Nothobranchius furzeri: one gene and its partner. Each later gene encodes a partner of the first gene's protein in a complex. Links are inferred from orthologs where the notes say so. Each region holds a gene or a part of one and is shown on either strand. Other genes may lie near its edges.

The links.
Region 2: rgs9b (region 1) and regulator of G-protein signaling 9-binding protein share a complex: the UniProt entries of both Homo sapiens proteins name them as parts of the RGS9-1-Gbeta5 complex. The link is inferred for Nothobranchius furzeri from reciprocal best matches to the Homo sapiens genes RGS9 and RGS9BP.

The regions. Positions count from the first base shown.
Region 1 is NC_091756.1:45,187,568-45,191,708, reverse strand, and holds the start of rgs9b (regulator of G-protein signaling 9), read right to left. Parts: upstream 2,801-4,141; 5' UTR 2,354-2,800; coding exon 2,285-2,353; intron 1-2,284. Other genes in the region: guanine nucleotide-binding protein subunit alpha-13, read left to right, coding at 3,239-3,521. UniProt on the Homo sapiens protein: Inhibits signal transduction by increasing the GTPase activity of G protein alpha subunits thereby driving them into their inactive GDP-bound form. Binds to GNAT1. Involved in phototransduction; key element in the recovery phase of visual transduction.
Region 2 is NC_091749.1:55,570,829-55,573,691, forward strand, and holds regulator of G-protein signaling 9-binding protein, read right to left. Parts: upstream 1,448-2,863; 5' UTR 1,312-1,447; coding exon 571-1,311; 3' UTR 501-570; downstream 1-500. UniProt on the Homo sapiens protein: Regulator of G protein-coupled receptor (GPCR) signaling in phototransduction. Participates in the recovery phase of visual transduction via its interaction with RGS9-1 isoform.

The DNA.
Region 1 (4,141 bases):
CATGCACGGATTGATGGAAGTGTTTTGCTCTTTTACTTCTCCGTCTCCTGGAGAGTGTTGCAAAGCAATTGTCCGGCAGGACAACAGAGGGCGTAGCGCTGTTCTGTGGTATCCTGTCATGTATCGGTCCAAGATCGTGTGTTTATATTGTGTTTTTGTGTATATAAGAGACTTTTAACACGGACATATTTGTCTCTCGTTCTCCCACCGCTTCATGCGCTCCCCACCTCTAAACCCACGTTTCCTGTCATTTCCGTCCACAAATAAAACGCTTGCTGCGCATCTTTTCACTCCTCCAGTCACGGGAGAATTAAAAGTTCATATTTTTAGAGTTTTTTCGCGAGGTATTCTTCAAGCTTCTCCGTGTCTGCTGCTAGTTATCCTCGGCTCTCTTTGCAATGGCGGCGCTGTAAACAACAGCGGTGTCCTGACCAATGACAAGCTTGCGTAATCCGTCTCGTTCGACGGATGTTTAAAAAAGTGGGCTTGACTCCGTACGTACTTGCGGGCCTGCCGGAGCCCTACGCAAGGACGGATAATGGCGTTGCGTGTCTCCGCACTGACGGAGACGGAGAAGCATAAATCAGGCTTAAGTACAGATGTGTCTTAGGAGTGTCAGTGCTCAGAAAATGAATATCCGTGAATATCCCTGCACATTGCACCAAAACATGTGTGAGCGCCATACTTAAAAAATAAACTGAACAGAGGTCTGTTTTTGCTTTACATACACCACCGGTTTGTTTTGCCTTCATTCTGCCCTCATTGCTTGAGCTGACTTTTTAAAGCAATAGCCTGTCCTTCAGAAGAGGTGGAGGGTTCCATCATTTTGAAAGCATAACATCAGAACAGAATGCTTGCAACGAATACGACTAAATAATTTCAATAACAGTTCTTTTTATTATTACATTGTGTTTGTGAATTTTGGGAATTTTAACTGAGATGTACACTAGATATGTTTTGCCAAACTCTTTCACATGTGAAGATTTTAATAACAATATATTGATAGTTATTAACATTGTCAAGCATCCACAGCATCGTTAACTTGATAAAACACCTCAAGAGCTACATAAAATTGCTACTGATTTTAAAAGTGTAATTTTATAGAGCACTGTCGTGATATTAGATTAGAAAGTGTGAGATGATTCAGTTATTGAGATTAAAGAACTCTCCTAACATGACCATTCAATGTTAAACCCAAAAACATTGTTGAAGAGTTGAGAAAACATGCCCTGATCTCTTCTGCGTTTCTTTGGATTGCGTGGGTGTTTTGCAGTGACTCACCTTCTTTCTAAACACTGTTTCCGTTATATTGGATCCCACAGCTCCCATATAACTCAAATAACTCAGAAAAAAATAAATCATGTAGAGACTTGATGCAGTTGGAGTAAAAGTGTGTGTGAGCGTGTGTGCAAGTGAGAGAGGAAAAAGAGAAAGTGAGTGTTCGTCTGACTCTCAGGTCTGTTTGAAGTGGCTTTGTGCTTTGAAGTCGATCCTGGAGAGGCTAAGCCCTCTGCGGAGCAGGTCCAAAGTGAGCTTCCATGAACCAGAACTCAAAGTTCTCCTCATATCTCGACACATTCCCCTGGAGAGTGTGTTCACTCTGTGCTCTAGTCTGCACCTTCCATTCACTAAATAAATCAGATTTAATGCTAATCACGTTTTTCAGCATTTATTCTTTCTGACTGTGTCAGCTCTTGAATGTTTTTAAACGTGAGATGATGAATGGGTCTACATCCAAACTACAAGACCAGACTGTTGTATTCACCACCTCATCTGGATTAACTTCTTTCAAGAAGCTGTTGCTCAATATAGGAGCTCTTATACTGATCCATACTTAATGCTTATTAAACAGAATGACCTTAGCACTGTGAAAAGGTTAAAATAATTTGTTTAAGGTGGGCCAGTTTAATAAAGGGTACAGTTAAATTACCACGATATTTAACATTTAATCTTGACATTTTATTACATGTATACATTATTTTACAGGTAATCCAAACAAATGCACTACATTTTTATTTCATGATGGTTTTAAGCATTCAGTTACTCATTTATCACCTGCAGAATTTGGCGTCTTATTAAAAGAAATAAAAGCATAACAATCTGAATTCTTACAGGACCTGAAGAATCTGAACGTTTTATATTGTAAACAACTATTTATGAGGTCACCTGAGACCATCAAGATTGAGAATTCACATGATTTCTGTTTAGGTGTCTGCAAGTACACTCTACCAGCCTGGGCAGAGCTGGGATTTATGTCTTGTTTATATGAAAACAGAGAGCCTACCTTTTTGAGACAAGCCATCCGAGGTCGGTACCTCTGTCCATGATCCCGGAGAGCGTTTCTAATGGTCATACTGTTTGTTTTTTATACACTCACAGATTTAAATATAACGCTGCTGTTGCCTGTGAGCTCTGTGTCGTGTGAGGATGCTTGAGGGGAATCGATATGATCAATGCTGATGATGCGTTCAAATGTCTCAACACATCATTTGTTCGGGAGATTGGATTTTTTAGAAACATGTATTCATACATATTTTCGATTTCAAGTTCACGTTATATTGAACTTCAAGTTAGAACTTTTTATTTGGATTAGTTAAACAAAACAACAGCAAATCAGTAGGAATTATGTTCTATGCTAAAAGATTGTTGTTATTCTGTTTAAACATCCGTTCAGTGATTAAACATTTAAAATACCAAGAAATATGAAAACATTTTGAACCATATATATGCGATGAGTGGATTTATTGTTTTCGTTTTCACCTGTTGTTATTTTGTGGAGCGTCGAAGTAAAAATTGGAAGTTTTCCCATGTCCTATACTTTTGAAGGCATCACATCTACAAGGGACAAATAAAACAACCAATCAGAGAGTTGCTTTCCTCTAAGAGGGAAAGCGTGTTGAGCAGTCTTATTTTCAACCAGCAGGGGGTGCTGTTGTGTCGTGTGTAGATTCGGATTTATTCAAACTTAACTCGTGTTTTGAGACACTTGCACTTTATATTAAATGTTTCATAGAGTATATATATATATATATATATATATATATATATATATATATAACCTTTACGTTAATTGCACATGGACAGTCTCAGAGGCGCGAGTGTTCTTTGGTGGTAAATCGGTAAACTGCCTTTATCGGTTCCGCGGACGCTACTTCCTGAGTTTAGGAAAAGGGGCTTGGTCCCGTGCCCGCGCAACGCGAACGCGCATGAGATTAGCATCGATGAAGTTTGAGCGAACATGGCGGATTTCCTGCCGACCAGGTCTGTGTTAAAAGTTTGTCTACCCTTCTGTGTGCTCAGCAACGCAGAGGCGGACCAGATACGAAAGTCTAAAGAGATCGACAAAGGTCTGAACCGGGAGAAGACGCATGTGAAACGCTTGGTTAAAATCCTTCTGCTGGGCGCTGGCGAGAGCGGCAAGTCGACTTTCCTTAAACAAATGCGGATCATCCACGGCGATGACTTCGACGCGAAAGCCCGAGAAGACTTCAGATCAACGATTTACAGCAACGTTATTAAAGGTAACCTCACTTCTGACCAAGTTTACTTTATAACGGGTGGAATAAACCACTTGTTCTGGACCTAAAAGCCGCAGAAAGGCGTTTAAACGGATGGAAACGTTTCCACATCTGCGTTTAGCTGCTGAGAAGACACCCATAAACAGTCCACATCTGCTCTCGGCACACCCTACTCAGCCAGGTTTCAGCTCCAACATGCCCTTCTCTCTGTTTATTACCCTGCTATGATTTAATAACCAGCTTTATCATAACCGTAGAGTTTGTACTTTCTAAAGAGGCACGTTTAGTTGCTCAACGGAGGGTTGCCGTGGTTTAAGCTAGGTGTTCCTGTTTGTCCGCTGGTTAAAAAACACCAGCGGAAAGTCAATTTACTCCACAATGTTAGTTTCCATTAAACATGACCTTAAACTTCCATAATGCAGCGTGTTTTTTTAACCTTTGACAGCTTTTACATGGAATGAAGGCATTGTTTTACCATTTAAACAGTATTGATTTTAAAGGTTCGTGTTGCCACATTTGTAATGCTAAAGCTAATGATTCCATTTTATTAAATCACTTAAATTAACTCAATATTACCTTTACCACTTGAAAGATAAACTAAAGTTCTTTTTTCCCAAGGCAAG
Region 2 (2,863 bases), on another chromosome or scaffold:
GCTGTGTTAAAACAGGTCCAAAGAGCCTCGTGCAGCACACGAGAACCTCAGATTAGAGGGTCCCGGTGTGCCAGCCGGGTTACTGATGATTAGAAATGTGTTAAATCGTGCAGATTTGATCATTTACATCCGTGATGATGAGGGGTAAGCCCTAGCACGTTTGACTGATTGGATTCGTACATCTAAAGCATCAGTCAGCTGAACGGGGATACCGCATGGCTAGATTTACACTTGGTCTTTTTTTTTTTACCTCCACACCTAATCCACACGGATTAGGTGTTCGGATCATCAAGGTGATAGCCAGACACTGTGAGATCATTTTAGCACTTTTTATGTATCCTCCCAAAAATAAAGTAACGACCTATTCCTCCCATCAAAAGCACCTTTTTAGGATCTATGTCCACCAGTCACTATAGTAGACTATCATCAAGTGCAATATTCCTGAACCCAGCAGAATACATTCAGAATTGGGATTGTCTAACTTTGACAACATCTTCCTCCTAGACATCTCCTCTCCGGTAGTGAGCTCCCTGCTCTGCTGTTTGTCCATCCGGGCTGCTCAGATACACTTCACGACATGTTGATAACTAAATATCCTAAAACCAAAGCCACCCCGACGATAACAAAGAACACCACCACGGCTCCGATGGACGCGGATCTCCCCTCCCTGGCGCCTCCGCTTTCATCATCCTTGGGCTCCTCCTCGCAGATGGAGATGACGCCAACGGAGGAATTTCCCACGCTCATGTTGGACTTGAGCTCGGCTCCTGCTTCCTGCTTGGCCACGACTGCCCACGGTGCCACCTGCACTTTCATCTCCATCTCCTCCACCATCTGGGTCACCTGCGTGATCTCGGTCTGCAGGTCCCGGAGGTCCGCCGTATCGATGTTACTGTCGGCCTCGTACTTCATGTTCTGGACGCTCATGGCCCGGGCTGCCACCGCGTTGGTGCTACCTGTCATCCCCGTCTGAATGAAGTGCCTCGTGGGCACCTTGATGGGGAATTCCTGCCCTATCTCCAGGGAGCGCTTCATATCCACCTCCAGGAGCTCCATGCTGCTGGAGAACAGCACCCACAGGCGCTCGTACTCGGCGCGGTCCTCCTTGCTGATGCTCTTGTCTTTGAGCAAGGAGGTCAGCTTAGTCCTGTTGGCCACGGCCAGCTCCTGGGCTTTTTTACGGGTCTTCTTCAGCTCTTCTCGCAGGTTCTGGGAATCCGATGTGCTTCCTAAAGCGATGACCAAGTGCCTGTAGCAGGCTGTGACTTTGTTTAAAGCGTCCAGCATGGTTTTGCACTCCTCTTTCCCCATGTTTGAGTTAAAAATATTGTATCCTATTAAAAAAGGTGGAAAAATAATCAAAAAGAGGTGGGAATTCGTGGAAAAGCGGTGAAATGTTTCAATTTAGTTTCCACAAAAGCGCGCTGGACGCGCTGAACCTACTCCAGCCAAAGAAAACGCATCTCTATCCATGCTCCCACCTGTGTGAAGGCAGCCACCAGAGAGCGGCTTAGAAATTAATGCTTCCGTCACCTAAATGGCTTTAGGTTACATTTAAGCTTCCCCGACACGAGATCAAACCTCCCGGGGCCGGTCCCTCTTCAGGACGGACACAATCCCACCTCCAGCGCTCCAGATCTAGCTACAGGTGCCCCACCATCCACCCGCCTTCTAATTGCGCCGCTCTCTCTTTCTCTCTCTCTCTTTGTCCGTCTAAAATGACTCCATTGTTTTAAAAAAAATGACGCGCAGCTGGATGAAACTGGTTCTTCCCTCAGTAAAAGGAGAGAAGAGTCCCAAAGCGGCTGAAAGAGGACGCCAAACGAGCCATGGTGCTTCGGTTCGGTGCTGTTTATCTGCGCGGGGAGCTGTCCACTTCAGCACCCAGAGAGCGCCTTCAGTGGTCACATGTGCGCACAAAACCAGAGCCATTCAGGGACGGGCGCAGAGATAGAGGCAGGCAGGCAAACAAAGCAGCTGCGCAGTCATTGGTCTGATCTGCTTCAGATGCCTCCTATCATTGGCTGATTCCTCCCTGGAGTGGGAGAGCTGGGATGTCCATCAGCAGGGATCTCCTTCTATCCTCAACTATTTGTCTTTTTAGTCATACAAGATTCAGATGAGCTCCGAGGAGATCAAAAAATAGCCCAGTCTGTGATGAAACAGACCCAGCCCTCACTTTAGGTGATTAGCTTTAAACAGTTTGATGAAAGTCGATGATTTGGGGAATTGTGGCACCTGCCTGCACACACCGTTAAGCCATATGAGGATGCCAGTTGTCGCACGCATTATTGGCCACTGTGCTGTTGAGTTGGCTCCTGCTGTGCTGAGAGCTGGTGTGGTGTGTTTGCCTGGTTTGCTCTTTTTGCATTATTGAAGCGGGTGGAGCCTAATGATCCAGTGCTGCAGCTTAAAGCTAATGGACTCAAGCAGCAACTGGTTTCTGGAAAATGTTTGTTATTATTATCTCTTTTTTATGCACATATTGGGTTAATTGCATGTTCACGTGGCTGTGACGTTTGCTGCATAATATCTTACAGGGTTATTTTTTGCAAGAATAGGAAGCCATTAAATCCTGCTCTTTACTGCTGAAAGCTAAACGTGACTGATTTCTTGTAACACGATTGCTGAGATGTTGGATTCGAGTGTTGGGAATGAGTCAGACCCACCTTGGGCTCTCAGAGTTAACTCATCGAAAATTCAATTTGTGAATTTCCTGAGCAGATGCCCTTTGTGGTTTTCTGGTTCTCAGACAGGTAACAGAGATTCATCAGGTTAGACACACATTTACACCCTGTGTAGACTAAAAACAAATGATTAATAAGGAACATCTCACTTTGATTTGATTATGTTGTTTTCTTGC